Drosophila melanogaster: one gene and its partners. The protein of the gene in region 3 interacts with the protein of the main gene of each other region in a pairwise test. Each region holds a gene or a part of one and is shown on either strand. Other genes may lie near its edges.

Region 1 (10,133 bases), on a different chromosome or scaffold from region 3:
TCCGGATGTTGCACAGATGGCACCTCCCGTTTTCTATTACGTGACTGTGCTTCGACCGGTCAAATTCTGGGACAATCCGATCGTTGCGATGCACTCGCCGCAACTCCTTGTCCGCAGGATCTGTCAGTAAAGCCGTCAAATGAGAGGCGATGTGCACCAGATAGAGCCCGGTGATTAGTCCGTAGAGCGGTCCTTGTATGCGGGCATGAAAGGCCGGAATGAGCACCCAGTAGCTAGCCACTCCAAACAGGAGGAGGACGAGCCAACCAAAAATTTGGAGGGGATGCAGTGGCAGCTGTAATCCGTGTAGTCGTCTACCCTTCCGGTGCTGGACATCAGCGATGTTACTCTGGTAGCTCACCAGCTGCGAGAGCCGGCACAAGTGCAGGGGTTTTTTATTTGTCTCAGCCTGTTCACCCGGAATTATATTTTCTGGGGAATCTTCACTTCCCAGGGAATGGGGCTTCCGTACTGGAGTCACTACTCCCTTTGCGGGACTTTCGCTGTGCGACTCCGTCAAGCCGGCAGTGCTTATGGTTATGATGTGATCCGTCTCCGACCTGACGCCGTAGGCTCCTTTGGGTCCCGACTTTAGTCCAGCTGCTGTTGTGGACATTGTGTTATTGGGCCTGGAGATAATGGCTCTGATGATGATGATGATGTGTGAATGATGAAAGGACCTGCTTGACAGCTGTACATTACATTTAATGCTAGACCACGCCCTCGACGAATGATGCAATCCAGAAATGGGAAGAATTCATATAATTCCCAACCGATTTTGCAGCATGTTTTAATGGTTTGATTGCGGATTACAAAAGTGTATTAGGCATCCTTAAACAGTTTTGAAGTTGTAGCTTTAGAGTCCAATTAAATGTTGTTGCCTTTTTATTGTCTTCTTTTAAATTTGCACTACTTCACTTTGCCTGCCATTTAATATTGCATCCTTCGATTGGCTTATTTTTACGGACGAAGCTTTTTATAAATAATCTTCTCCACAACAGTTTTTTATGTTGATTTTGTTCTCTCCGTCCGTCACACACATACACACAATTTTATAGTTATATATTTTCATTTGTTGTTGCGAAGTACAAATGGCGCAGTTATAGGTTCGTACGTATATTTATTTTCGTTTTTCGCTTAAGTCCACTTTGTTGTTGTCGTCCCTGAGAGGGGGTGGTTACTCTGGCAGCGGGCGCAGAAAAACAGGATGTTCGCCACCCCCCTTTTTGCGGAATTCCTCTCTATGGTTTTCCTTCTCGTTTTGCTATTTGTTTGTCTCCCACACATACACAGAGACAGGAAAGCGCAGGGACGCAGGGACGCATAGCCGTCCCGAGGTAAAATAACAGTAGAACTGGCGAAGGCATTCGCGCTTACCGTTACTTGAGCGCACGAAAACGAACAACCGACTCCTTCGACCGACGCGACCAAACGAAACAACTCCGCACAGAGTAACCAACTTGGAAGCTCGTATCGTTGATTTAAAACGAACGGTGCTGCAGCACTCAGAAAAATAACGACATTAAGTGCAAAACTGATAGTGGAAACTGTAGTGAAACGTACTTCTTTATATATAATGCTGAATTCCATAAATTCGTATAAGTTTTATATAATATATTACATTTACATTTTCAAGTAGAATTTTTTTCAGTGCTCCCTTATGTTCGACCAGGTTTGACGACCATTTCGCATTGCTAAAGCAACGGAGTTGCTTTTTTCTGTTGTCAAACAGAAACAGATGGGTTTAAAAAACAGTGAACTATGTAAGCTAGTGTTCTAAGCTCAATTTCTCTCCCGTGGTTCGAAGTCGCTCTCAAACACCGAACCGAAAGCTTCGTCTGATTGAAAACAAAAAGCCTACCAGTTGAACGACGACGCTTTTCAATCTATAGTGGCAAGCAACCAGAGGAGGGTGAAAGGGAGAGTTGAGGACAGCTGTGTGCGGTTTTGCCGGTATTGTAAGTCATAGGAAAATTATTAGCGGGAGAGGATTTTCATTGGCCCACCAAGGGGGTTTTAAGAAAAAGGGCACCCACACTCAATTTACTTAAAATTCTATATCAGAATTTACGTTACAAGTCAAAGGCCTGAATTGATATGTGGCCAAGACATATTGTTAATAACTGTCTGCTTAGTTGCATTCAACGAATGTGGTAAACAGCCTGCCACTTATTATATTATCATTGTGTGTACCACATGTCTATAAACGTTGTCTCAATAAAAGTTAAAGCACTACTTTTGATTCCCAAAACTAACTAGCCATTTAGCCGAATGACTCACGCAGCCATCCCTAGGGACCCATATCACAGGAGGAAGTAACTATTTTGAAACGCTAAATGGAAATAGGAACACAGACGACCGCTAGCGATTGGCACGCACCTTTCATTTTCCAGCATAAGTTTGCCTGTTTTCGGATGCCACCATCATTTTTTATTTATTCCATCGGCAGCGGGGTCGGAAAGTAAGAGGGGTGTCCTAGGTGTTAGATGAAATGGAAAGTACACTCGAGAGAATATTTGGAGCACGTGCTGCAGCAAGTACATTTCAGCACTTGATGTGATTTTATTTACATGGAAGACGGCTAGTGAGAGTGGGTGTTCTTTTCCAAGGAAAGCCCTACGCAGACATGTTGGCGCCGGACCGAACGATTGGTAAATATTTATGCCCGAGATGCCCGCATCTAGAATCATCCACGGACGCCAAACTGGGTCAGCGGTCGGAAAAAGCGGGTGGAACATAAGCCCGGATAGAGACAGCGAAATATTGAGGAGGATAGTCAACCGAGGATTTATGTAAGCCGAACTAACGCCCTGGAATCTGCTGGAGCCAGGGTAATGACAGCTTCGATCCCGATTCGGCCTCTTAGGATGGGACCACAGATTCATGCAGATAGCTATAAAACGGTTGTTGAGACTGCTTAAGAATATATATATTTTATATTGCAAACTATTGACTAAAGTCAATATACAATCGGCAGGGAAAAAGTATAGAATATTGTTAAAGTAGGCGGGGCTACTACATTTTCATAAGGCACTGTTCGAAATTAGTTTTCTTGGAACGCTCAGAGAGTAAATGTTAAGCACAAATAATTTAGGCTACTGTAAGTTTAGAGCGACAAGATGATCGATATTTTGTCGCTGCCGCGGCGAAATAAGGTGTCCGGAAACCCGGCCCTGCTAAAGATGATCTCCTACAAGACTGGACTACCCATCAACAGTCTACCCGGATGGGAGCTGATCCCTCTTAATTGCAAGCTGCCAATGCTCAAATGTCCCGGCAATCAGGTCATATTCTCCAAGAACAAGATCGGACAGGACGTAAGTGCTACCAGTAGAAAATCAGCTAGAACCTTACTTTATCATCATCATTCATACATATCCACCAGTTCAAGAGCGGTAAACAGGAGTTTGAGTGTTCCGTTACCGAACACATCCCGGAGTACAATCCGCTACACGACTCCAACCTAAAGACGTTCTACTCCAATGAGCGTAATCTGAAGCGGTTGAGGGAAAACGGTGAGATAACGCAGGACAACGATGTAATATGCAATCTGAAGGACTTCAATCAGCATCGCCAGGAGCTGCACAAATCGCAGTTGTACTACATTTTGCAGGCATACAAGCGGCGCGAGTCGGAGCAATATGATCGAATGCTGATCGCCAACGCGGAGTCCATCACAAAAAAGGATCACCAGAATCTCGCAGCCCGTCACCAGTGCACTGAGGAGGTTCTTGCCAGAAAGAAACTACAGGAGCAGGAACGCCACGAAAGAAAGGTCCATCTGCTGAATATCACATATGAGAAGTTTAAGCGCTTAGAGAACCTGGCCACCATGCAGAATATGTTGCTGGAGCACCGCAAGATGCTGACAAACATGCGTGTAGCTGCCCACATAAGCATGTGCCAGGATTTGATGAGAAAGCTATTGATCAAACAGAAGAAGCTCTTCCAGTTCAAAAAGGATCGGTTCAACAAAAACATGCGAATCCTGAGGAAACAACGGCTGGTAAAGAACACTGAGCACCAGATTCAGTCGTGGAGGAAGCGACTTGATGAGCGAATTGCTAATCAGCGTAGGATCGAATACCTCCTGCAGGAGGTGGAAAAAGAGCGAGAGGCGTTTATAGACAGGCACAAGGCTCATTACAGAGAAAAGTGGCAACGGATTCAGGACGAGATTAAGGAAAGAGCTCAAAAGGCCATCACTGCTCGTCAGCCCAAAAGAAAGCGCCGCAAGAAGAAGAAGTCGACACTTCAGGAACGCAAGCCATCATTCTGCGATGAGTATCAGGCCACCTTTGAGGGATTGTTAGACAGTGATCTTTGTTACGCCTTGAATGCAGCCATTGCCATGGAGGGTCAGACCGCTCTCAGCTTCGCACCAGACGACCCCATCTATAAGGCGGCACAATATATACTGGACTACATAATTTCTGGTTTAAACGACGATCTCAGCGAGGATGAGTGTGCCTTGCAGGTGCTGATCTCGCGCATTAAGGATTTTGTCTGCGATGCAAAGAAATATGTGCACTACGTAAGTGTTAATAGCAGTCCCTCTTGACATACCACTAATTCATTCCGCCTGCAGAAAGCTTATCAGATCATTGGATTCGCCAGAGACCACAAAGCCATGGAAGTGCCTCCGTCGATGGCCAAACAGCCGAAAAACCACTCGCGCGCCTCCCATGTATCATTTAGCGGTGTAGCCAGCACCATTGGCGTGGGCAGCTACGAGATTCATCCGTTCGTGGACGTCCGCCCGTGCAGCGAACGTCGGGCCACTCCGGCGGGATCATTAGCCTCTCTGGTTGTCAGCCAGATCGGCGAACAGGTAATACAGGACAAGGTGCGCCTGCCGCATCTAAATCGCAACCAGATCGTGTTCATAGAGCACTACCTGGTGAAGTTTAAGCGGGATCTATTGGTGGGTCTGGACAAGCTGGTATTTGCAGCGATTCAGTGCCACTTTGAAAACCGTATGATGGAGGTACGAGAGGAGCTCCTTCTGCTTGACAGGAACTATTTGTTCGAGCAGATTGCCAGGGGTATCCTCAGCTATGCGGTTAATCCGCTCAACTATCAGTCGGTGCTTAAGCTGGCCGTGAGCGTCCAGTCGTGTGAAATCATCTGGGAGCTGCAGCAGACGATGCTCAAGCCAGGCATCGATCCCCGGGGCCAGAATCACCCAGTGTCCTGCGGCACCGAGCAGGAACGCGAGACCCTGGCTCTCTGCATACCCTAGGATCCTGTCAAGCAGACAGGGCAAGGAAAATTGATCTTAAAGCAGGATGCCTTAGCTCTGGCGGGAAGTAGCCCTAAAAATTACTTGTATATTTCGTTTCCGAGGCACTTACATACTTCAGAGTCCAGGAATATTCATTTTCAATATGATGTCCTAAATTTATGTACTATGTTTTCTTTTATCGTTTAAAATGCTTCCTTATAAATAAGTTGAGTATAACTTTAAAAATCAGACACCTGGATCCTTTAGTTAAAAACTCAAAGCTCTTGAGATTTAATCGTAGAAAACCAATAAATTTAGGTAAATACACTTACCCAAAAGTTTTTTGCAAAGTTTTTTCACTGAGTTTCATACGTTTTTCCTAGTAAACACTATTAATTTGATTTTTTATTCAAAAGCGTGGAAGCAACAGCTGGCAAAACACAAAACCAGGGCTGCGTCGGCTGATACATTTCGATAAATAGGTCTGCCCTGGTTATCGATATTATTCCCCGGTATGTATTGTACAAAAATTAATTCAACTTCATTCTCGTTTTAAACAACAGAGGCGTAATTCCTAAATTCCGTAAATATTAAAATGAAAGAACTAAATCCATTGGTATTGAAAATGTATTTATCTTTCACGTTCCTTTACAACTAACTCACGCTATAACTATTTAGAAAAATTAAACGGAGCTCTATAAGAATACATCATGGAGTTAAAAGGGGCGCCCGGGGCGCCTAGAAGGGGAAATGGAAACACTTGAGGAGGTAGACTGGCTGCGGCCGATACGGAGGCTTTGGTGCCTCGTTTCCGCTTCTGTTTGGACACAGGAGCTGGGTGAGGCTCTTCGCTGGACTCCGAGTCATCGCTCTCGCTGCTGTCATCTTCATCTTCGTCGTCATCTTCCTCGTCATCTTCTTCGTCATGATCTTTCGGCTCCACCTTCATCCTTTTCTGTGAAGACTTCTTTATCTTTTTTATTGACGCCTTTTTGTCCTTTTTGGGTTTTGCTGAAACTGGAGCTGTGACTGTGCCAGCAGGAAATCCAAATCCTTGCTCGCAATGAAAGGCAGTCATTTGCTGCATGGCAAACTCCACAAACGACTGGATGGCAATATTTAGATTGGGCGGGTTTGGACAGTTTTTGAGACCATGATAACTACCGGAGCAATTACGACATATCATCTGACACTGGAAGGAGGTGTGGCCCTGGAAGAGATTTTTTTAAATTGGGTAACATTCTTTTAAAATATTTACCTTCTTGTCGCATATGCCACACACATCCACGGTTTTACCCTTGTTTTTTTGCTTTCTGGCCTTCTTGTCGTCTTCAGGTTCGGTGCTTTCCTCCTCATCGGTAATGGTAAACTGGCGCTCCTGAGAGCCCATGCAGACAACATCCTCCTCGGTGTTCTTTTCCATCTTTTTACTCTTTGCCGGCGGATGACTCTGTTCATCATCGGTGTCGCTGTCCGAAGTTGAGGAGTCGGAGGACGAAACTGGTTTTACAGCCTTTGGTTTCGGAGTTGATGCTACAGGTGTTTTGATGGCCTTCGCTTTTGGGGACGGCACCACCACTGCCTTAGTGTTGACTACCATTTCCCCTGGTTCGGGTTCAGACTCCTCTCCCGAAGTAGATGACGACCTAGAGGAGTTAACCTTCTTCTTTTTAGGAGATTTGGGCTCCGCTTTGACAAATTGCTTTATTTTTGACTTGTGCTCCATTTCTTTCTCCTTCTTGATATTGATTAGCGGCACAGTAGGTTCTTCTGGCGTAACAGCCACATCAGGTGGTGCAACAGATACAGGTGGTGGTGGCGTCAAGTCCGCAGCGAAAGTAACAGGTGGCAGGCTCTCCTGTCTGAGAGAGGAGGGAGCAGGCGAGGATCGAGGCAGAGGTGGGTCTTCGGTAAAGTCCCCCACATTATCGAAGTACAGCATGTTACTTTGGCCAGGACTAACATGCTGATCCTTAGGTTGCCACGAGTTGTTACGGCCACCACGCCTATTGGAATCTCTGCCGCGGTTCCCTCGCCTGCCACCCCAACCACCACCTCCTCCGCCACCGCCTCTATTTCTTCGGCCCCCTCTCTTGTTTGGCTGATGATTATCCAGCTCCTGTTGGGGATCTCTGAACTTGTTAAACGCGTTTCCATTCTGCCCACCTTCCGATCCAGCGTCTGGCCAGTTTCCATTGGCGGCGCGATTTTGGCTGTGGCTGCCTCTTCCCCCGCCTCCACTGCTGCGCCTCTGCTGATTGTTGCGGCCGTAATTCGAAAACGGTTTTCTTTCCTCTCCTGAAAGGTTCCAGCCGGATTGTCCTCCACTGTTGTGCATTATGGAATTGTTAATATTTATAAAACCGCCTAGTTGCGGCGCACGTGTTGAGCCGATTGGGGTTATCGATAAGATCCGATTGTTGGTGGGACTGCCGAAGTGGCTTCTTTCAAGCCAAAACTGCTATTCATTATATGTATATTAAGTTTGAATACCTTATATATAATATAATATATATATATAATACTGTGACAATATGTGACATAATACATGTAATGGACTAAAATGTGAAGTGACCAATGGAAGGTTTTTATAAGATTTAACATATATAGCTAGATTCGATAGTTTCTCAAACTGGCACCTCAGATGGTCAGATGGACGATATTCAGTTTAACCACAAATAACAACGCTATGAATTCTACCAATCCGAAGAAAACAGAAGATAATGATCGCCATGAACGTCAATTGCAGAGCCGCACCAAGGACTGGGGCAAAACCAAGTTCAAGCCAAAGAAGTATGTCCAACCGAAACCAGCGCTCGTTCCACAAGCTACTGCGACGCCCTGGCAGCATGTGAAGAACGACATAATTACGGATTCTTCGGACCGGGGACACCAGGATGTGGACAGCGAGGACGCAAGGCAGTTCATGCAGCAGCGTCAGAAGAACCACCGTCGAAATGTCATAGAAGCCAACCGGTCGCAGGATACTACATGGGAGCCCTTCAACGATGAGAAGCCCTCCACGGAAAGAAAACAACAGCTCTCCACGGACGTTGAGAACTTCACTTTTAAGGAGCGGAACTTTTTCCGAAAGCAACTCACTTTGGGTTTCAATTTAACGAAAAAGAATGCAACACTTAAATCTGCCCTAAAGGACTTGAAATATAGACAGCTGACAAAGGACAAGTTCGAATTAGAACGTTCGAATCATACACGTCGAAATGTGAAATCATCAAATGCGAAAGAAGCAAAGGGTAGCCATCCCTTTCAGAAAATGCGAGATAATGCACATCCTTATCGAAAGAAGGGACCAAATAGGAGAAATCCGTTTCAGAAAGGGCCACATAATGAATAAGTTTAGCTTATTTTCCCTTAGGTGACTTCACAACCCCAACTGGCAAAACATGAAGTTTCAATTAAAAAATAAATAAAAGATTCTTTGTCGGGTGACAAATCAGAAATGTATACACAACATTACTACACACTTTATGCAAATCTTAAAAATAGTGGTACAAATACATGTGGAATAGGTCGGCGAAAATAAATAAACTAAACAGAGTTCGGCTCCTCCTCCGTTGGGAGGAGCAAGAGGAGATTGAAGTGGCGCTCGCTGCGCCATGGTTCCAGCCAAAAATCGTCCAAATGAAATCTCAGCCATGTACATTGGCAAGCTTGGCGATGAGGTGGTTAAACTTGCCGTTGGTGGTCACAGACTTTTTGGCCGATCGCACTTGTTCCGGCGAGTGCTGCAGAAAGTAAACGACGATAAATTCGAGTGTTTGATTGGCTTCCTTAGGGTACATCATGTTAAAGGTATAGTAGTAGCAGATTAACTGGGCCAGAATGTCCGGCAGGTCTTCGTCTTTGGCGGCGAATGTGGCCATTATCTGGCCTTCAATGTAGACCTTCGCCTCCATTTGCGATTCCACGCCGTCGGCCGTTGTTATGGGTGAATCTGTGGGAAGATAAATATTTTAAAAGTATTTAAACACTTTTAGTGATATTAATTTTTGTGTACTTACTGACTAGAGCCACCCAGGGGGCGTTTGTGGGATTCGTGCTTTGCAGTGATTCCTTGCTAAGGGAACTGTTCTCGAGGTGCTTGAAAATGTAGTCGGGATCCTCATTAAAATAGTACGCTATGCCACGCAGGAAATTAGCGTTGGTCTCGTCCAAAGAGCTGATCTTCTTGTTCTTTGAACTCTTAAAGAACCTGAAAAAGCGATCCTTTTCGGTAGCCAAGCGCTTCTCTAGAGCCCGGGGATCGATGGACATAAGCAGCTCAAAGTGCTGGTACAGCACAGCCTTGTCAAAAATATATGGCCAATTGTCCTTAATGGCCGTTATATCTGGGATCTTTTCGCTGTTATTAAAAAAGGAGCGCTGCAACGGAAAGCACTCTTTCATATATTCGATTATGACGGACTGTTCCAGTGGGGAACTGCCTCGGTAGCTGGAGATTAGTAACTCCTTTTTGTGCTCCAGATCCCTGTTAAGAGCCAGCGATTTTGCATCACCATTGGAAGCACCACCTCCGAATTTTCGTTTTTTATTAGGGATGTGGATCTCAAAGGTTCCCGAGCTGCCGCGTTTCTGGGGTTTGTTTAGGGCATTGTTACGGTTGATCATCTTGGATATGAGCGATTGCGGAGTGGTGGCTATAAACTGTCCCTCGCGGTCTTTTTCGAGTAAGGAGTCGGGGTACTTTTCAGCCGCCTGTTGGGCGACCTGCCGGAAAATCCGTATGGGAATGTGGGCGGATATTTCACGGAGAGCCTCCACCAAAACATTCGCAAGTGTATTCAACCGCTTGCCCAAACTCCCCTTTCCCTTTAGTAGTTTCATTATGTCCCCAGGCACCTTGCTCCAGGGTATCGAGAACTCCTTGAATAGAGCAGAACTCTTTGCA
Region 2 (9,213 bases), on a different chromosome or scaffold from region 3:
GGTTGAAATGTTAGCTAGATATAATGGCCATAACAATGGCCATAAGCTGGCTAAAATTGAATTGTCTCTATCTGGTGTACGTGAGTGTATCTCGTATCTGACTGGGGCCAGTAAGCCACAGATGAATAAGCTTGAGCTGCACTTAACCATTTAATTATTGATTCGCACAGCCAACGGATACATTAGCTATCTAAAGGTAGAAGTTCAAATCTTACGAAATGTCGTCGGTTACAAGGGTTAACCGATAAAACTAAAGCAACTTTGTAATCTATTTGTTAAGCGCTTATTGTAACTCAACCAGGTCTGTATGGCAAATGTCACTTACATCCACTTACTAACTAATAATTATGAAAGGATCATAAGAAGTCCAGTAAGTTAAAATAAAAAAGGCTTTTAATACCTCTGCTAAAAAACCTTAATTACCTTAAATATAAGCAGATATTATTGTTATTATTATTACAGTTAAACCAAACACTACGTGTAACTTTATTTTCACTATTCCAGTGCGTCTGCTAAATGACCACAATAATTTTATTTATTTACTTACCATTATTATTCTCTATGGCGACATACCATGGATAGTGTCTGCTGCGGTCGCATTCGCTGGCTTTGCATTAAAAATAATTGTTTATTTATAGCAGTCGATTGGCTTGAAACCAGTTCGAATCGCAGCGTTAAGAAAGCACACAAACAAATCGCTGCCCCAAGGGCCATAATAATGGATCGCATATATTTACGGCAGCCAATGCTGATATCATCTTTGGATAATTGCACGCAATTTTCACTCGGCGCCCACGTGATAATCGTGAGATATATGCTACTTCAGCCACTTCGACCGATATCTGTGGGCTGCATTTTGCGTGGGCTTTTAGATCAAGAGTCCGCTTTTAAATGGAAGTGGCTGATGGCATTTTATAACCACCAAAAGTAATTTTTATGAGCATCTATTTCCCCCGTTTGTCTTTCGGCATTGGGCACATTAGTATGCAATGCCACTGCATTTTCCGTGTCAAGCATATGCGTATACTGGCTGCCAACCTGACTTATTTCCACCCGCCAGCCAACCGAGCTAGCAAGCCAAACCTACGAGCCATGTTAACGACATTGCATTTCCTTCATTTTCCTTAGCATTTCCATTTTCCATTCCCAGCATGGCAAGCAAACAGCTAACAACAACCCACTTCTCGGGCCTTTTATTGCTTTGTTCTCCGACTCGCATTCAATGTCTCAGAGCCTGTCTTTCATTGTTCCCTTTTTTGGTCTGCCTCTGCAGAGAGGAAAAAGTCATAAATAATAAATAAATGCATATTCTATATTACAATTTTAGTCACAATAATTAAGGGAAGATCAGTGCAACTCTCATGTCAAGGCAGCATATTAGGATAACCCAGAATGATGAGGTGTAGCTTAAAATTAATAATTTAATTTAATGTATAAAATGTTTATTGGCCTAGGCTTTATTTACCAACCCATTTTCTCTCAATGTTCCCCCTTTCTGGGTTGGCTTGAAAATGGGGCCCCCAGATGATTGTTGTGGCATGAATACGTTGGAGGAAAGGTTCTTCGATTCGAGTGACCAACGAAGCAGAATCAGCTCAATTACTCAACTTTTGCAGATCTCGTTTCCAATTTCATAGCAATGCAAACACATTTGCAGCCACACGACGACTCAACTCCTATTAGAGCCAGTAACGCTCTTCCAGGTGGAAGAGCTGCAGACACGCCTGTGCACACAACTTCACATCTTTTTGGCCAACTTGAAGATCTGGCCCAAAAAAAAAGTTTCGGCATAAAAAGTTTGCCAACCAAGCTGCTCCTCTATGACCAGACCAGAGTCGAAAAGACAAAACAACCTCACACCATTCAGCAGACTTAAGTTGAAACAGAAACTGGGTTGTGATTGTGCTGGTCGCTTCTATAAGTCTGCACTGAAAGAAACCAAGCATTGATCTAACAAGAATTTCCCTAATTTCCTGGTTAGTACAACTAGCATGTTTCATTTTAATAGTATGACTACAGTTTATAGAACTAGTTGAGCTCGCAGCACCCAAAAAGAGTTTCTTTCGATAGTTTACAGTGTACTGAAAGCATAAATATATCTTTTTTTCTGCACATTGAAGCTGAAACTTGGAGCCAAAGTTATTGCCAGGGAAAGTTTCCGCAGGTCGTCAAGAGAGTGCTCCAAAATGGTTGCCAAAAAACTGACTTTGCCAACATTCTTGAGCCTTCTTCGCCAGCCAGTTATGAAATATAAACCTGTCTCCTCCGGCAGCCGGCTAATGAGTCCAGAAATGGAAAGTAAAGGAAATGTATGTAAGCCCGGTTTCAAAGTGCACTTACGCTCCCATCTGCGTGCGTTCGAACCGTATTATTGTAAACAAATTTCCAGCTGCAATGTCGGTAAACCGGTTGCTCGAGTACGAAACCTGGAAACCTGACCTGCTGCAAAAGCTTGGCCAAAGAATGGATAAGAAAGTGAATTTCATTTGCCATCCCGGCAGCGCCAGCAAAGTCTATTTAAAAGTGCAGAGCAGCAAAATGGAAAATTAAGCACATCCTGTGCCAGTGGGCTGCTTCACATGAGGTAGTATACTTGATAAATAATAGCCAACATCCAGGGGGGCGTAGGTTTAATAATAACCCGAAGAAAAAAACAAAAAGTACTTTTTTGTATTTTTTGTTTCTACAAGCCTTAATACGGGCATCTAGCGCGTATTAAATGAAAACTCATTAACTACTTCTTAAGGTTTAAAGACTTGATCTCCTCTTCGGTGAGAATGGATTTCTTGAGCGCTGAAAGAACTTCAGGTGGCTGCTTGGAGAGCAGCTTCATCCGCTCAATAGCCACAAGCTCATCCTGGCGATTCTGTTGGTTGTAGACCTCCTGTACAATGTCAACCACCTCCTGGGCAGCGGCTTTCCTGTTATTCTTGGCCTCCACGACCATGTGGGCCATGTCCTGGTAGCATTGGACATCCAAGCGCCGGGTGTTCTCCCGCTGGGCCACTTGCATTCGATACTGTCGTTCGCCGAAGCACATGGGATCCTTGGGCATGACCAGGGCATCCTGCACACCCTTATCTCGGAAGAACTTCTGCTCTTCCCGCTGGCTGAGGAGCTGTTCGCGAATCTCCTGCTTCTTGGCCATTTTGGTTCTAGCCTGTTCCAAGGCCTTCGCGTTCTCCTTGGCCTTGTGCTCGCGGATTAGCAGACTGGTGATGACTTGATCTCGGGACTCCAGATCGTGCTTGATCTGGCTGAGCTGGAAGCCCAGCCGAGCGGCATTAATGTCCCTGGCCTCGATCTCATCAAGGCGTCGTTTCCGTGCCTTTGACACATAGGCCGCCGTAACGGGTCCCAGGGCATCAAGGAGTCCTCTCTCGGGCTTATTCTTTTGGGCCAGAGCGTAGGCCTCGCGGGTTTGCTTCAACATGGCTGCCGATTGGTCTAGGGATTCGAGGAGCACCTTGCGCTGCTGCGCCTTTGTAACTGCATCCTTTAGGATTCCCTGCTCCACTATCTCCTTGCATTCCTTTAGCTCTTGACGACCCTCGGCCACAGCTATTCGATGATCTTGTATCCGCTTGGTACGCCCCTCGGTAATCTGGGCCATTAGATCTCTACGAAACACGGCTGCCTTCTGAGCCCTTCTTTGCTTCTCCTCCTTCAGCTCCTTTTCCACGGCTCGCTGTTCCGCCAAAGCTTCGGCCCGCTCCCGCTGCTTATCTTCCACCGTTTGTTTGATATTGTTGGTGATCTTGTTCTTGACAGCCAACGCTGTGTGGGCACGGGCCACTTCCATCTCGAGATCCCTCAAATTTTCCACATTGCGATGAAGTTGAAGGCATCTACTGGCCTCCACCTGCTGGCGAGCCAGTTCCCTTGCTACACCGAGGGTGACATCCACATCGGTTTGCTCCTTCCGTTGGCGCGGATGCAGGTGACTGTTGAGCATGGCGGCCACTTCGTCCACCTGGTGTTTGACCATTCGGAACAATGAGCTCTCCGCGACAGACGACTGTGTAAGAATGCGGCACACATCCTTATCAGAAACACAGTCGTCCTCGCCCTTCGGCATTGGTTTGAACTCGGTCAGAAGATTCGGTACGGGCTCCTGGGAGGCGGTGGCAAAAATCGAGGCTCCCGGTTCATCCCAGACAATATGGCCAACGCGATCCGACTCCGGTTGGAGATTTTCCATCGTGGTTCAAGAAAACAAACCACTTCCTTTTAAAGAAATTACTTAGGAAAATTTAACTGGGAATGAAATATGTGATATGTCAAGGCGTTTTGAGTGGTATTAGTTCACTCAAAATGTTTTTTTTTTGTGCTAGTAACCTAACGAAATCTACTGACTAACTGAAGACTGCTAGAAAATTTTCAGATATTAAAAAACGACAGTTTTCAGCTGGATAAATAAGTTTAGAAAATAATATTCAGGTTAATTCAAATTACAAGTATGTTATGAAGAATTAAGTGAAACAGATAAGAGCTGGCTAATATTTTTAAGCTGCGAATATAAAGCCACTTTTCTTGATTTTCTGTCATTGACAGAATCTGTCAATTGCCCACGATTACAGAATGTTCCCTTTATATCGGTAAGTTAGCTTACCGTAATTGAAAGCCTGTCCTTCCGTAATTTCAAATTACTTCCTCTGTGAGATTCTGGAAAGGCATTGTAGCTTTATGCAACTACTTTTCCTGAAGCTCAGAAACATGCACTCTACTGTGGGCTGTCTGTGGAGGTCTGTGTGGACTTCCAGTGGATTAGCATATTTGAGTGGGTTCTGGGCCAAGAGGCCAAGAGATCTCTCTCTCTCTCTCACCTACTGCATGGCCGCATTGGGAGCCACAAGCTCGACGGGGGCCAACTTAATGGGGATATGTGCATCAAAGTAAGGCTCAAGTGCTTCCCTTGCGAGCGCGTTGTTGCCCCGACTATTGGCTATATATACCTTTGAATTTGCATACGAATTTGTATGGAAAATCACAACCGAGCTAAACGATTGAGTTTCTGAGCTCGAATGCATTGCACTCAATAGAAATAATATTTCTCCTGAATTTAAAACAGCTATTGAGCTAAAAAGGTATTTAAATAAAAGTCAATTATTTACAGAATACTGAGTATATTGGAAAATAAGATAAAACCAATTATAATTTGTTCACAATTGCAATCAAACATTTTCAACATACGTATATTTAGAATTATAAACTATGGTAGACGTTCTAGAGCGATCTGTCGAGGATTTTTATCGTCTGGCTTCCATAATTTATATATAGTTATCTAACTGCTGAGCGCTGGTTAAATGCTGCCCTGTCATCGCCGTCTTCATCATCATCGTAATCATTGGAGGCAGAAAAGAGCGGAGCTCTCCCAGACCATCAGTCACTGTCCACGACAGAAGCTCATTGGCGGAGTCTCTGTGGCAGGAGGGGATTGAGTTCGTGGCGGGGGGGCATGGGGAATGGGACATGAGTAGCTCCAGTAGCAGCTGCAGCTTCCGAAGGCACTTTCCTCGACGCATTTGTTGGCTGTCCATGGTTTTTGCCGACCAGGGTCCGGATAACCTTTCCATTTTACAACTGTCAACGGCGCAGCGAACGCGATTTGCCAGCGGTTTGTTTTATTTATTTGTTTTTTTTTTGTGCCCCCCCCCCCCCCCTTATTGCCATTTATATTTTCCTCCTGTTTTCCCCAGTGTCGTAATTACGCGTAAAGTTTTGTGCCTGCATTTGAAATTGTACGCAATTTTCCCCGAAAGTGTCAACGCATGTCGGGGCTTTAAAGTTTTGAAAAATGTTAATTTGTTGTCGTTGCTAATGCTGCATTGGGTTTTTCTCTTTTATTTTCCTTTAGCCGCCAATGCAGCTGCTGTTTGAGTTGAGTTCAGTTTTGTTTGTTTGTTGGTTGGTTGGCAATTCGAATCGAACGCGTCTGGCATTACATGACACTCATTATTGCACATTAAGTTGGATGGATGATGGAAAGTGGCGGTCCGACCCTATGAGACAGCAGAATCGCTGGACTGGGGGGGACAATAGAAAGCATTGTTGCTTACCTTAATTGATATAATAAGTATATCTGCCACTCGCACGGAAGTTCGGCATTAAGTCTTTAGCCAGGTCATCGTCAATTAATCAAACCATCTTCGGAGAGAAACTTGCCATGTCTGGTTCAACGAACTTTTCGCGGGGCTTTTCATTGGTATTTAACATTTATGTGTCTCGAATGTAAATGCTTAAAAAAAAGGAGAGGGTAGGGTTTTATTTAGATTTTAAATCAAGCTACATACTACCTACGTTAGGTTAGAAGTAGTGTCGAGATATTATTTCACCTGTAACATCCTTTGATATCTACTGATTTAGGGAACCCTTTTCAAGCGAAGGCAAGCCTTTCGCTATTTGTTGACCTGGAATGTCGGACAAGTGAGGAATGTACACAATGGCAAAGTGCTTGAATCGCCATGTACCGTGCATATATAGTGGTCATATAGGGTTTCTTGTATTCCACTGGGCAACCACATGAACGAAACTTTATCCCCTTGACCCTTTGGCCCCCGTGGCTAGTTCGAAGGCACTTGACTGCTGGATTTGTGCAGATGATTTTATTTTATTTATACACTTTAACTTTGAATCCATTTAATATTGAAATTTCTTCGTAACTTTAGACGGGACTATCAATAATTTCCGGAAAAAAGATGCAGGACGGCAGCAATACGGAAAAACTTTCAACTGCAAGTGGCAGACAGCTCAAGACAAAGTTTCAAGTGCAATTTTCATATAATTTCCATACAAACAAACAGACGGTTCACTTGGGGCACGACCTGAGGTCGCGTTTATGTTTTATTGAAAATGAAAATATCAATTTGCCTTTCAGGAATTTATTTGCTACTCATAGTTTCATGTTTTGGAGCTTCTTACAAAGCAGGAAAATTCTTATTAGGAAGTTGAAATGGAAATTTTTTGCACAGATGTTTCGTCTATTCAATGAATAAAAAATATCTATCTATTAATTCCATAAAAGGAACCATGAATAAATTGAAAATTCAGAAAATAATTTGTCTACGAAGACTAGGAAAACACTTAAACAAATCTATCAAATACATTTAGCTTATTGGTAGCCCGATGATAGATTTGTTAAGGAACAAAATCATTATGCAGGTCAGCAGATATTCCAGAGCACCTCATTTATTGTTAAATCTTGTTACTTCTTAAACCAGGAGAAGGCAATCCTCCGATTCATAAATTGTTGTGTGCTTTGTATGCTAACGTTATGCTTCTATGGATGTTTCTGGTTCAAGACACAGAATGAATTTTAATTAAATTGTGTTTATAAATAATGGCCTTTTTGCCCGGGCCTGCCAACAAATTGAGTTACATAATTATGCGCGGGCTGACTGCGGCGGTGGCCAGAAACCAGACTGGGGCGCAAAAAGGCCAACGGAGGCAATCAGTCAAACCCAAAACAGCGATACAAACAAGTGGGTTTCGGAGGGGCGGATGATATGCGAGGATGGGTAGAGAAGCATTTCATCGATATCAAAGTCTCGATGCTTACACACTTAATCGAATTTAGCGACAATTTTACCGAGTTTCCATTAGCCTGTTGTAATGGATGATTTTCCAATTACCGGTCGCCCTGCCACTTTCAGTTTGCCCCCTTCAGTATTTTCGGGTGATCACAGTGCGTATGGGTAATAGCAGCGGCAACAGCAAATGCGATGCCAATCGCACGCACATTCGTCATCCACACACACGAAACAGCCGTTCATTCTCTGGGCAAAATGCAAATCGATGGGGGCAATGTCAGGGTTTTTGTTTCCTTGTGGCTTTTGCCAAATTGCCCGCTTTCTTTGTTGCCCGGAGTTATGTTGATGTCGCTCCATCGAGCCGAACAGCCACATTTTGGCATTTCCGAATGGCAAATAAAATTGATACACTTTCATTTGTGGTCGCGTGTTTGGGATGTTGAATCGAGTGCACAGGGAAAAAGTTTCATCTTATATAAGCAACAATTGTTATTAAAGTTATCAACAGTCTACATTTTATATTGTCAAAACAGGCTATTCGAGTGGTATAAGACTTTTCTGTAACAACACATGTAACTTTTAATATCTAAGCATATCCATTCGAAATAGATTAAATTCATCGGACCAGAACCGTGTGTGTGAATGGTATTTCTTTTTGCACGTGTAGTGGTGGGCTGAATGTGCCTTTGTCATTTCCATCACAATCAATTTTTAATGCCCAGCATTCAGCCGTCCGAGATCACGAACCCGAGCACGTTTCCCGAGCCACATGGGGCGCACGGTGCGGATACTTGATTTGCCTGTTGCACCGAGATGTACGGCCTTTGGTATCGGAGCTTTGGAATCACATGCTCCGGTATTCTGAGAAGCCTTTGACACGAGTGGGTCAGGTTGGCTGTCTGTTGGCCAAAACTGTTGCCCGATTGAAAATTGGCCTCAACAGGTGCAGCTCAGCGCTCAATTATGGTTGACAGGGGCCAGATAATTTAGTGTTCGAATGTGGATTGACATCGCCTTTAATTAAATGTTCCTCGATTGACAATGATGAACTGACATATCAAATTACACATGGGAAATATGAAGAGGTTAAGTCAAATGGCCTTTCAAAATCGATTCTATTTCTTGTGGCTTATAAACAAGTAAAATTCATTTGTTTCAAAGTCTCCGTTGAAATTAGTTTCGTAGTAAATAATTAAAAATCAATTTTAGCTGCGCACGGCGTTTTTACAAAGCCATTGTTGTATATGTTGGCTTTAAAAATGTGTCAAAACAAAATGACACACACTGTACGGACTTCGATTGGCTGCACATAACTTTCCACTTAAATGCAGCCGTTGATTGACACATGGCTGAAATTGAATTAAGTTGGTTGTCATAAATTTTATAGCCGGCCAATGTAGAGACATAAACCAAAAACGAAAAGCGCTTTGTGCGCCGCATGTGCGGAATTAACAGCCAACTACTCCAGCGATATATGTTAGGTACAAACACAAACAACAATCGTATACATATAAAAGTCGGTTACAACGCCCACCCAAGTCAAACCGCAGAGCCAACAATGGAGTTCGCCGGATTTAGAGTTTGACCGAGATTAAAAAGAGGTGAAAAAGATCCAGAACCCCAGACATTTTCAACTTACAACATAAATTACAATTTATGAGCGTGATTTTATTTGTATTTTTAG
Region 3 (12,805 bases):
CTTCTGCTGCACTGCATCTCTTTGGTACTGAAGCCACTGCCCCTGGATACTGATATCTCCGCCTTCGTAGGCTTCCTGAAGCGCCTTCTCGTGGCAGTGCCACGATCCGGAGTTCAACTGGCGGCCGTCAAGGCCAGCCTACGTCTGCAGAGATTCGGATTCAAGTACACTCTGGATGCCCTGAAGGACTACAGGCCCAACTACGAGCTCGACCCGTTAACGCGGGCCATGATTCGATGCTTTGCGAAACGGAGGAGGCACTTCCGTCACGTGGCGGCCACTGGGCGGCGTACAGAGATTTGAGATTCCCTTTTATGAATTGTAACTATTTATTTATGTATGTTATTGTATAGATTTTGAATTAAACTAAATGCCAACTGCGCTGCGGATCTTTACAAATTTAAACTTACAACTAAAATACACAAAACGATTGCACTTAGGTTAGGCTGGGGTTAAGGTAAGTCGTGGACATGGGACATGGAGCGCAAGCAAGTGAATGAAACAAAGGAAAGCGTAATCAAAATGTACAAAAGTGCTTAGCGTGGATTTGGACAGAAGTAGCTATACTTAATTCGTGGACTGTACAATAACATGGATCTAGGATGCGGCATACACATACATCAGCGGCTTCTACTACTCGAAATGCCTGCAGAGTCAGCCGGAAGCACCCATGCCGTGCGCGAGGGTGAGGTATAAGTATAAGGTACTTGTGATCTCCGACATCATTTGCGGTCTAGAAGCGCCACCGGGCAGGGCTCCCAGTTCCAATCTCCGCCGTAGAGAGCCATCAGTTCATGCTAGATCAGTTTGTTCAGCTGCAAGTGTTTGTATTGGGTTAGTTAACGATGCAATATGGAACTCAAATGGGCTTCCCTACCAGCGATCGCCGCTGATGCTCCTTTTCCAGTGCAACTTGGGCCTGCTGCGGCGAAAATTTGAGCACTGCCGATATCACCTTGACAAGCGTCTCGTTGTTCGTGTTCCCAGTTAGGTACTGAAATGGAATATATCAGTTAGTTGGGAGTATATATTTGGACATTATCTAGTTTGATTCCCCACCTGGAACATGATGTTGCGCAAGTACTCGAATTCCGTGTTGGCCGGAACAGCCTCGCTGTGTTGCATGGATACCTGTCGGCAAGAGAAAGGAATCAGCAATGGAATCAAAGGGTGGGTGCACCGCTGCTATGGACTCACCAGGGTTTCATCCAGTTGCCGCGAGAGTTTCGCATTCTGCAGCTTAAGTCGCTCGTTGGACTGTTCGAGTATGAGGAAGTTCTCGCATTTTTGCTCCAGGAACAGGTTTCGATTCGTCACGTCCTGCACCTCGTTCATAATCTCTTTGAGCTTAGACTCCAGTTCAGCCTTCTCGCCGGCAGCGGCTGCCTCCTGAACGTTTTTGGGCGCCATGCTGGCGAGGAGTTGCTGGGCTTGTATGCCGGCTCGCAGGGTTTCCAGCTCGTTGATGCGCTCCGCCATCTGCTGGTTGTTAGCCTGCAGCTCCTCGATCTCCTGCTGCATATTGGACTCCGCACCGGCGCTCTTGTGCTTGAGATCCTCCAGCTCCCGTTGCAGTCGCTCGTTCAGGCTGCGCAGGCTGTCGGAGTCGGTTGAGGGGGATAAATGCTCCTTAAGGCAAATCACCTCCTGCCTTAAGCCATCAGCTTCAGCCTGCAGCAAGGCCTGCTCATCCCGACTCATTGCCAATTCGATTTGCTTATCGTGGAGTTGCTGCTGCGCTTGAAGAAGGTCTTTTTGGACCGCATCACTCTGCTCGGTGACAAAGCTGGCGTGCTCCTTCTGGCGGGTCAGCTCCACCGCCTGTTCCTCGATGGCCTTCTTCAGTTCGGACACCTCTGCCGTTGCTGTCGCACTCTGCGTTTCCTTTTCGGCCATTTGGACGGCATGCTGCTCGGCCTTCTCCTGAAGAACGTACAATTCACATTGCAGGGATTTCAGTTTCTCCTTCAGCTCCGCACTCTCAGCCAACTCGGCCTCCAATTGCTTCGTGTGCTTATTCAAATACTCGTTCTCGATCAGGATCTCATCGAATTTGGCCAATTTTTCGGAGGCTTCAATCTTTTCTTGTAGCTGACGATCCCTTGTGGCCATGGCTTCTTGGAGCTCCACCACCTGACGGTTTTTCTGGGCAATTGACTCCTTCACCTCCTCGCGTTCCTGGCCGTGCTTAATCTTCAACTGTTCCATCTCCAGCTGCAGGGCATCATTGGCTTCGTGAAGACGCTCTACGTCTGAGTTGGCGGCGCTCCAGCGAGCTTCCAATGTGGCAATTTGCGTGGTGTAGGACGAATTGGTAGCCTGCAGTTTCTCCTGAATGCCCTGCTCTGTCTGCTTATAAGCATCAAGTTGCTCGCGAAGATTGCTGATCGTGGCCTGCAGTTGGGTCTCACTTTCGCTGTTTTGGGCCTTCAATTTCGCGCATCGTTCGGCTTGGTCTTTCAGCTGCTGCTCCTGTTCTCTTTGTCGCTCTCTCAGCTCCGACAGTTGTTGGTCCTGCTCCTTCAGTTCTCGATCTAAGTTAGCCTTAACCCTATGCAGCTCCTCACTGGCCGACTGCAGGCAGTCCAGAGTGTGTTTGGTCAGCAGCTTATCCTTTTCGTAGGCATCGCATTTATCCTGCAGCGTCCGATGGTCGTGATCCATCAGCTCCTGGGCATTTTGCAGCTTCGAGTGCTCGTCGAGCACCTGTTGCAGCTTCGCCTGGATCTTGCCGATCTCGTCTTGTTTGGCTTGCAGTTGGGACTCCAAATGATTCGTCTGCTCCTCCAGCAGACAGTTGCGTTCGGCCAGCTTGGTGTTTTCGCTCTGGATCTCCTCCAGCTTAGCTGAGGTCCTCTCGTCCTGGGCACTGCTGTCCACTTGCTCCTGCTGCAGTGACTCGATGCGGGATTCCAGCTTGCGCTTCTCCCGTTCCAGCTCGCTGTGTGAGTCTTGCACCTGTTGCATTTGCGCCTGCATGGTGCCAATCTCCTCCAGAATTCCAGTGACGCGTGCCTGCAGCTCCTCCTTTTCGCTCTCCACCTGGCGAGAGTGACTCAGTCGATCTGCCAACTCACTTTGCAGAGCTTCGAGGCGAGCGCTTTGATCGCTTGATTTCGCCTGGTGCTGCTCGTGTTGCTTCTTTATCTTGTTCAACTTGTTGCCGCTGGCTTTCAGTTCCTTTTCCTTGGCCAACAAACTGGCCTGACTGGTGGCCAAGTCCTGACTAAGAGCCTCCAACTGCCCTTTTAGTGCAGCCACTGTTTCGCTCTCCGAGTTCGCGTGCTGATCTTGTAGTATTTGAATCTCTCGCTGTAGCTGTTCCAGCTTAAGCCTATGCTGTTCCTCCTGGGAGGCTTTCTCGGAATTCAAAGCGGCCACAGATTCGCGCTCCATTTCCAGGCTCTTCTCGAGTTCGAGAGCATGGAGCTCCCGTTGCGATTGAATGGCTGCCAATTCCTCTCTTGCCCGAGCGAGCTGAGCTTCCCAGTCGTTTTGTTGATGACGCTGGACAATTTCGAGCAACTGATCATTGTGCAAGCGCAGGTCCTGCAAACTGTGCTCACTTTCGGTTTTAAGCGCATTCAAGCTTTGCTCCAAGGATGCCGCTTGCTCTTCCTTGGCCGAGAGTGCGGCCTGAAGTGCGTTCAAACTGTGTTCAGTGGAAAGAAGTTTGGCTTCGGCTTCGTCCTTAGCTGCACGTAGTTCATTGATCTTCTGCTGGGAATCAGTACTTTGAGCTTCTCGTTGTTCATTAATGTGGTGCAATTTTTCTACATTCACATCGTTTTCCTTGGAAAGAGTTTTCAGTTTGTCTTCCAACAAAGCGACTTTCTCTTCCTGTGCTTTATAATCATTCCTGAGGGAGTGCAAAAGTTCTTCCGTGGCTAAGAGCTTCGATTCGGCTTCGTCCTTGGCTGCTTGCAGTTTCTTTTGCTGATCCTGTGCTTCGTTAGTTTGAGAATCGCTACTTTTCTTGTTTTCTCGCAATTTATCTAAGTAATTTTCGTTTTCTTGTTTCAGTTTACCCAACTGCTCCTTCAGATGCTTTAGCTGCTGCTCCTTGGCTGCTTGTTCGCTTCGGAGAGATTCCAAGAGCTGATCCTTGGACAAAAGCTGGGACTCCGCATCCTGAACGGCTGCTTGAAGTTTCTTTAGTTGCTCGCTTGAATCGCTTGCTTGGGTATTTCGATCTTCGTTCTGTTTCTGCAGATCTTTTACTTTCTGTTCGTTTTCCACCCTTATGGCTTCCAGTTGCGCTTCGAGTGTGACCACCTGTTGCTCCTTGATCGCATAGCTTTCTTTTAGGGTGTTCAGCAGGTGCTCTGTAGCCATAAGTTTGGCATCGACTTCCTGCTTCGTGGCCTGAAGCTTTTTGAACTGCTCCTTGACTTCGTTGTTGTGGGACTCTCGCTGAGATTCCAATTGCTTGAGTTTCTCCTGAAGCTTACGCACCTCGGTGTCCTTTAGCTCCAATTCCGTATGGATGGCCTGCTTTGTCTGGGCCAGAAGAAGCACGTTCTCCTCCTCCTGCTTGCGCACAGCTTCGTATTTTTCGGTCACACTTTTCAGCTGCTCGTCCCGCTCTTTAAGTAATCTCTGTAAGTCGGACACACCGGAACTGCCATTGGTGGACAGGGGCGACTTTCCGATCGACTCCTCCAGGTCGATTAGCTGTTCGGACTCCAGCTGTTGGCCGCTTCTCTCCAGAGCCGCCGTAATATTCTCAGGATTTTCGCCCAGCAGCTGGAGCTTCGTCTGATAAGCCTGCATTTTGCAGCTCATGTCGTCCATCTCAACGCGCAGAGCCTCCTCCAAATGCGCCTTGGCCTGCTGCTCCAGCGTGCACTGCTCCCTCAGCTCGCTGATTCGGCGCAGCGCCTTGTCTTGCGTCTCCACCAGCACAGACTGCAAAGCGATATTATCGGAAATGTTCGTTACACAAGCTTATCAAGCAGACCGATTAGATAGGCAGATAGATAGATACCCGCGCCTTGGAGCTGTCGCGTTCCAGTTCCTTGTACTTTTTGGCCAGATCCGTGTACCGACAGCGGTACTTGTGGTAACGATCAAGTGACTTCTTGTACGCATCGTACAGCTGGTCCTTGGTGATCACATCCAGACGAGCCGTTGAGGCGGAGTCGTCGAACTCGCTGCTCGTTTCGTCCAGATCAGATTGCAAGTGGTACACCTGGAAAGTAGAACACATAATTAAAGCAATCTCGGAGACTTTTCGGCCACTTACAGCTGGCGCTTCATATGTAGGCAGGCGGAAAGACACGTCGCTGGCCATGGACGAGTTGGAGAGCTTGCGGGTCCTGGAGGTGGCGCCGTTCAGGGATTGCGTCGATCGTCCGCGCAGAGCGGATGCACTTGTGGCCGGCAGCTTTTGGATGCGATAAGGCGAGTTCTGAGGTGTGTCTGCGCGGTGAAAGATGGATTGATATGTGAGATAAGGAACCCCAGGTGACTCATGGCGTACTCACCCTCCTCCGTGATGCTGAAGAAGTTCTCATTGTTGCTGGTGTTCGTTTCCGAATTGGGTGTTGTGCTCGACGATGAGCTCACGGCGGCCTGGGAAAAAAGTCCAAGGAAGACTCATGAGCAGCTGGTCACTTCACTTTTCACTTGTGCACCCAGAAATGGGTCACAATCGCACAATCGAAGGCGACCCCTTCCCAGTTCACCGACACACATGCAATTCCGTGTCTGTGTGCGTATGTTTTCCTCAATTTGCATTTTTCATCGGCAATAAGCACCGCCCCGCCCCCGCACACAAAAATACCTGTGCAGCATTCGCAAATTGCTGGAACTTCGAGGGCGACGCCTTCACCTCCTCGATCAGCTTGTTCTTCAGGTTGGCGAACATTTCGAGTGCCTGCTGCGCTCTTTTTCAACTGGTTGCGCTACCTGGTTTAAGCACTATTCAATTTGTAATTAAAAAACATCTAAATAAATACGTGTCTGCAGATGTTCATTCAACGGTCACACTGCCGATAGCCTCGGGAGTTATCGATAACAAGCGCAGTATTCATTAGGGACGAACGCAACTGCGGGTCATTAAGTTTATGAACGTGACGAAAAATTTTAATAAACATAAATAAATGTTACGTACAATGTAATTTTTATTTAATACACACAAAAGTAACAATTTAATTAGTTATAATTGATAATACCTACCTCCATGTTTTTTAATACCATCTTGGTTCAAGATATTTTCCACAGGTGGCGCAGGTTATCTTTAAAAATATTTGGAAGCCTGTTGAACGCCCTTTCAATTCTTTAAATATAGATATATAGAAAGTTCCTAGGTATGATGTATTCAATTTTTTCTAACAATACTACTATAATGAACTGTTTACACGCTAAAACTGAATGAAAGCTGGTCAAACTTGCTAATTATGCAATGATTTAGCATTTTAAGTAGCCGCTCGTGTTTGAGGAATCCTCATGTTGTGGGCAAAAACGCTTAGTTAAGCACCCTACAGTTTGTTTTTATTCGAAGATAATGCAGCATACGTTTAAATTGCACTTCTTTATTTATAAAAACCGCGCAATAGTTCGTATAACTGTGTTTTCTTGTACGTGAAATATACACTCTTTTCATAAATTCTATTTTTTACAAGTTGTTATTCTTTTTAAGTTAATTGATTTTTAGTCGATTATAACGGCAGGCGATAAGGCCTTAGTTATTAACGAAGAGGAATTGAAAAATAACTTATAAAGAAACACATCAACGAACTTTATTGCTTTGGTTCTGTAACGAAGCGGCCATAAACTTTAGTAACCTGTTCCAGCACGAGCTAAAGATGAGCTTCTAGTTAAAGCATTCAAAATATGGATGGTTTATTACGCACTTTTCAAATACATATATAATTTTTGGGTTACTGGTAAGTGGTAGTGAGCACTTGGGAACATACAAAAGAGAGTGAAATGCATTTTAGTAAATGTCTCGAGTTCATCCGTCCGTGCGGTCGCCTTCTGCCGGTGGATGGATCACCGCTCACTTGTGCAGGTTCTCGAGGAACTCCTTGTGGCGCTGGATGGCCTCCTCGTGCTCCTTGATCTGCTGGTGGTGGAACTCAGCCTGGTGGATCTGGTCGTTCTTAAGGCGATCCAGCTGCTCCCTTTGCTGCAACGAAACGAACAATGATGGATTCTCTCGATTAGCCGGTGCGAAATACAATTAGTGCTAGCAAGTCGTAAAAAGCTAATTGCTGGTTAGCTAAGCCCGCCCACCCCTGAAGCTTGCCATCAATATTGATCGACTGTCATCATTAGCTGCCAGCCATATAAGAGGCTTTACTACAAGAGACAATATTTGGTTAACAATTTTCAGACCGAACCCGTCACACGGGCAGACAAAAAGTTCGGATATCGCCTGAATGACCACGACAAACAGTCGACGGAAGTCTGTAAAGAGTGCGAAAAAGATCGGGGGAAAACCACCTGCCGCCAATGAACCTGAATCATTGTCTGCCGTTCTGCCTGCTCGTCTTCAAGCCACCAAGCTAAAAAGCCTGTTTTCAGTTGATAGTTGGCTACCGAAGTGAGACGTCGAAGAAAGTGTCGTTAGATCGGGGTCACCGTATTAAATTATTCCGCATTGTTAGGCCGCATCTGGCCAAATATCAACAGACCCTTGCTCTTAATTGGTCGTCAACAAGTAGACAAAGCCAGGCCGCGGTCCACACTCTTCGATCTCCGCCAGCCAGCCTGCCTGCCTCTCTGCCACTTATCAACGCCTCAGGAACCAACTTGCTTGATAAGCAGCTGCCCTTAGTTCGAACAGAACATTTACCATCCGACTCTGCTGCGGAATGGTTATGATGCCCCTCCGGATACTGCTGATCGCCTTTTCGCTGACGCTAGCCCAGAGCTATGGCGTCGGTGTCAATGGACCGCGTCCCGTGCGCACTGTAGAAACGCTGACGCAGTGGGGCCAGCTGGAGTTCGGATTTCCCACGGCGCAGGATCGGGAGAACGCTCAGGCGGCGGGTAATCTGGTGCCCGAGAACGGCACTCCCATCGATGTGCAGCCACAGTACATGGCCAATGGCCAGATCAGGCTGTTCACCACTATTCCGCGCTTCGTGACGGGCATTCCCTACACCTTGGCCACCGTTTCAGCGACGCAGGGCAGGAATGGCCCGCTGCTGCAGCCGTATCCCAACTACTCCTGGCACAATGCCAACGGCGAGGACTGCGATCGCATAACATCCGCATTCAGAGTGGCTGTAAGTGTAAAATGTTCGGACAGCTAAGTTTTTTCTACATTGAATCTCTTCCAGATCACCGAGTGCAACCAGATGTGGGTGATCGATTCGGGTGTGATTGGAACCACCCAGCTGTGTCCGCCGCAGTTGCTGCAGTTCGCCCTGGCCACCGATCGCTTGCTGCATCGCTTCCGCTTCCCGAACGACACATACATCCCGAGTGGATCGCTCTTCATCACGCCAAATGTACTCGTCCAGGATCCTCCGCCTAGGGGAACCTGCAGTCGCACCATGATCTATGTGGCCGATGTGAGCTATCATGGCTTGGTGGTCTACGACCACCAGGCGCAGACATCATGGCGGGCTGAGAACCGCTTTATGTATCCCGATCCGGACTACGGCAAGCACACCATAGCAGGCGAGAGCTTCTACCTGATGGACGGCATGTTTGCACTGAACAACGACAAGCGCAATCTTTACTTCCATCCGCTGGCCAGTGCAAGTGAGTATTCCGTGCCACTGAGTGCTTTGAACCGGCAGCAGAACTGGGCCAACGGGCCGGAGGCTCTGCCGGAGGAGTTCAGGCTGCTAGGCAGGCGGCGGAGCGAGTGCGCCGCGTCCGCCATCGATGGCAGGAACAACGTCTACTGCGTCACCTTCAATCCCGTCAAGCTCTTTGTGTGGAACGTGAACTCGCCGTACAATTCGCGAAACTTTGGCAATCTGCCAGCCAAGTCCGATGACCTGCAGTTCGTCAGCGGCATGAAGGTGTTGCGGAACCGCGAAGGGCAGGAGGAACTCTGGATGCTCTCCAATCGCTACCAGGTTTGATGTTCAGCAGGCTTTTGTGTGCCCCGTAAACTGATTGTTACGATTGTTCCCTTAGAAAATCGCCGCAGGTACGCTGAACTCGAAGGAGGTCAACTTCCGCATCCTGCGCCGCAAGTTGGATGATGTCCAGGGCGGCGTCTTCTTCTCCAACGACGAGGATCTAACCAATCGCCTGGTGTTTAGCTAGTGACTTAGCAAATCCACTTAATTAATATATGTAAATATTAGTTTTGTTGTGCACTTCACTGGGGGATCGTTGCGAATTCCGCCTAAGTGCTAATAACAGCCTATCTGAAATTGTAAAGATTCCGCAAAGCCTAAGAAATATATATGACGTGTAAATATTAACCATCTTGTGGTACTCATTCCCTTGAATAATTTAAATTTTACGACAGCGAAATATTTAAATTTACTTTGCTAACAAACCATATAAATGCGCATAAAACGATGAACCTGATTTGAGAAAGCTAACTTTTCGGTTACAAACTTTCAAAGAAATGTTGACTATAAAAGTTGATAAAAGTTATTGTGAGAAATGGAAGAATTGGAGTTTCTTCTACATATGTTTGGCCTATGAATGCATGCGTCCGAAGCTTTACTGTATTATTTTGATTTTCAAATTTCTTGCGCCACACAATTTGTGGCAAAGTTCAGGGTCACTTGTTATCGCCCCAAGTCTGTACTCCCAAGCAACAGTCTAGTCACGCACGAATCCCACTGGCCAGTAGAAGCCGCAGTGGCTTAAGATTAGACCTGATTCAGCGCCATCAAGTGACGTTAACCGTTTCGGGCATCAGCAGCATCGATTGGAACTGGATTGGGAACTAAATTGTACTGACTGGATAATGGATCACACTTAATGGGGCGACGAACCGAGCAATCGGTCCAAATGGGTGGCGGCGTGCATAATTAGCCAATACCAGCACCAGCAACTTGTTTTCCGAGGTGGACACCAGTGAACAGTAAACAAACTGCCATGGCTCGACCAGAATTTCAGTGCACAGAGTTTTGGGTGTGCAATTAAACCAGTTACAAAAGCTGACCCGCTTAGCCTGCTGAGTGGCTGGCTGGATTAGAAAGACATGGGCCCGCAGCTCCACGCGCATGTGCAGTATCCGCTCGGTGTTTAAGTGGAACAGTTGTCGCGAAAGTGAAAGGATTACGGCATGGAGCGTTGGATTGTCTTCGGTGTCTGCTGTTGGTGCTGGCTGGCAGCATCCGCCCAGGCCTTGGAAAGTGTCTTTGGAGCCTACAATCTGGAGCTGGAGTTTCCATCGCCGCAGGAAAGACAGCGCGCGCTGAGAGATGGACTATACGATCCGGGCAGCGTGATCCCCATCGATGTGGACGTCTACTACAAGCGTAGGAGTTCTCCATTTCAGCACAAAAGCCTACCTAATTTGCTCTCTCATTTAGATGGCGATGCCACACCCTCGATATTCGTGACCATTCCGCGTTTTGCCAAGGGCGTTCCATACTCTCTGGCCTACGTCACAAACGAAATGCGACCGAACGGGACTCTCCTGCAGGCTTATCCCAGCTACGAGTGGCACAAATCCCACGGAGCCGACTGCAATGGATTGACTTCGGTGTACCGCACACAGATAGACGAGTGCGGGCGCATGTGGATCCTGGACAGCGGCGAGATCGACTTCATTCAGCACTGCCCGCCGCAGCTGTACGCTATTGACTTGGAAAGCGGAAAAGTCGCGCATCAGTACAAGATGCCCAAGCGATTGTACAAGGAGGGCGTGAGTCGCTTTGTCACGCCCACCGTGGAGCTGGATCCGCACAACTGCGATGTGGGATTCGTGTACATGGCGGACTCCATTGGAGACGGCATTGTGGTGTATGACGTGGCAGCCCAGCAGTCGTGGCGGATTGAGAACAAGTTTACGTATCCTCATCCAGACTTCGGCACATTCACGATAGCAGGCGAGAGCTTCCAGCTGTGGGACGGCACGGTGTCTACCACTCTAACGCCCCACGGCTTGGGTGGCCGGCGGATGATGTATTTCCACTCTCTGTCCAGCGAGTGGCAAATGGCCATTCCGTTGGATGTGGTCAACAACGGCAGCAACTGGCGGCTGAACGATGTGAGCGCTGCCTTGGATCAGTTCCAGTTGCTGGGCAAGCGGGGAAGTCAATGCGTTGCGGCGGCCATGAGCGAGTCCGGCTTTCTGATCTGCGGCCTGGTCCAGCCGGCCAGCCTTTTGGCCTGGAACATTCGCACCGGCTACAGCCATCAGAATCTGGTCATGCTGGTGGAGGATGAGCAGCGACTGCAGTTCGCCAGTGGACTCAAGATAGTGCGCAACCACGAGGGCAAGGAGGAACTGTGGGTGCTGTCGAATCGGCTGCAGAAAGCCTTCGGAGCGGGTCTGGACTACAAGGAGATAAACTTTCGCATACAGAAGTGCGGTGTTCAGGAGCTGCTCAGCGGCAGGCCTTGCAACTGAGTCGCTTCCCGCTGCTGCTCAATAAAGCTAATGATGAAATAAGTTGTTTTCTGGGTCACTCACCTTCTTGTAGAAGTACTCCTCCTCGCGGGCAGCCTCAAGCTTGCCGAAGGCTCCGCCGGCCTCGCGGATAGAGCCACCGCCGCCGCCTCCCTTGCCGGCGCCACTGCCTAGGTCGCCCACCTGGCTGCCGCTCATCTTGGCCAGCCTGTGGAGCGGAAAATGGCGGTGGGAACCATTAGAATCTTCTGGTTTTGTGCGGTTACGCAACAGTGGAGTGAAGTCAGCATAGACTGCACACACACACATGCGCGCAGGGTGAAAGCGATTTCGATGGGATCGGAATTGTTTATCTTATCGAACATTGAGGAAAGTGTAAGTTGGGGGCATACATAACACTTTGAATATGGCGAATGAGATATGAGTGCTCTGTTAAGTCTTGTAAGCCAATTAGCAGGTAGTTATGAACGGGGGTTAAATGTGGGTAGAAACTCACTGGACTCCAGCGGGGTACAGACGAGATGCGCTACGACGTACAACGAACATTCTGTTTGATTCTTGAGTAGTTTAGCTGCAAGAGAAGCGCAGAAAATACAATTTATTGAGAAAACTCCATTACGAAGAGTAACTGTAAAGCCGTCTCCTTAACAAAACGGAGTGCATTGAACTTTTTCGAAAACCAAGTCGCAATAAAAGAGCCGCTATTTTTAGCCAGTTCTTTGTTTGTTGTTTGTATAAAATATATACACGAATACCCAATGCACATACTAGATTTAATGCCGGAAAAGTGCGGCGCGCTTGAACATTACTTACATTTTTGCGACGACAAAAGTTTTCTGCAGAGTGACCGTAGGCGCACCCTTAAATAATACCTTCGCGGCAGAGCGAGCACAGTCGGCGTGGTCTATCGAATATGTGAGCTTGCGATTTTAATCGATAACGCTTTATACCCTTTGCATACTGCAAATAAAACTAAGCTTCTTCTGTTGTTTACTTAATCATGGTAAACTAATATTTCAATTGCAGATTTCTTACTAGCAACAAATTTAAATTCTCAATCGACTTGGACTCTAACTTGACGCTTTAACGCTTTAACTTGAGTTCTCGTCGATTGTTGCCTTAATCCAGTCGACGTAGTGCGTCACATTCGTGGCCACTTCGAAGATCCTACAGGATGCATCCCCGTAGCTGACGAGTCCGAGCAGGAAAGCCCGCTTCTTTAACCCGAAGAGCAGCTTCGCGCTCAGCGGGCCCCCGGAATCCCCACCGCAGGCATCGCTGTCCACGCCAGTGGTGCAG

What was found.
Region 1: the proteins of Golgin245 (region 3) and Dus1 interact in a two-hybrid assay, tested with the Drosophila melanogaster proteins (one large-scale study listed by BioGRID).
Region 2: the proteins of Golgin245 (region 3) and CG3610 interact in a two-hybrid assay, tested with the Drosophila melanogaster proteins (one large-scale study listed by BioGRID).

What each region holds. Positions count from the first base shown.
Region 1 is NT_033779.5:266,073-276,205, forward strand, and holds the start of Dus1 (dihydrouridine synthase 1), read right to left. Parts: upstream 5,673-10,133; 5' UTR 5,557-5,672; intron 5,555-5,556; exon of another isoform or gene 5,243-5,554; coding exon of another isoform or gene 4,589-5,242; intron 4,535-4,588; coding exon of another isoform or gene 3,386-4,534; intron 3,318-3,385; coding exon of another isoform or gene 3,120-3,317; exon of another isoform or gene 3,016-3,119; intron 1,434-3,015; exon of another isoform or gene 617-1,433; coding exon of another isoform or gene 1-616. Other genes in the region: CG17075 (uncharacterized protein), read right to left, coding at 1-616; CG3345 (uncharacterized protein), read left to right, coding at 3,120-3,317, 3,386-4,534, 4,589-5,242; mbm (mushroom body miniature), read right to left, coding at 5,895-6,434, 6,483-7,562; CG11555 (uncharacterized protein), read left to right, coding at 7,914-8,579; CG17078 (uncharacterized protein), read right to left, coding at 8,875-9,179, 9,247-10,133.
Region 2 is NT_033777.3:14,840,195-14,849,407, reverse strand, and holds CG3610 (uncharacterized protein), read right to left. Parts: upstream 4,366-9,213; 5' UTR 4,202-4,365; coding exon 2,735-4,201; 3' UTR 2,671-2,734; downstream 1-2,670.
Region 3 is NT_033778.4:23,371,046-23,383,850, forward strand, and holds Golgin245 (Golgin-245), read right to left. Parts: upstream 6,001-12,805; 5' UTR 5,870-6,000; coding exon 5,786-5,869; intron 5,575-5,785; coding exon 5,487-5,574; intron 5,422-5,486; coding exon 5,246-5,421; intron 5,192-5,245; coding exon 4,988-5,191; intron 4,909-4,987; coding exon 1,198-4,908; intron 1,132-1,197; coding exon 1,060-1,131; intron 995-1,059; coding exon 878-994; intron 816-877; coding exon 798-815; 3' UTR 315-797; downstream 1-314. Other genes in the region: Ice1 (uncharacterized protein), read left to right, coding at 1-303; CG13551 (uncharacterized protein), read right to left, coding at 7,004-7,132, 11,570-11,714, 12,003-12,052; yellow-d, read left to right, coding at 7,821-8,237, 8,292-9,041, 9,103-9,234; yellow-d2, read left to right, coding at 10,214-10,409, 10,464-11,506.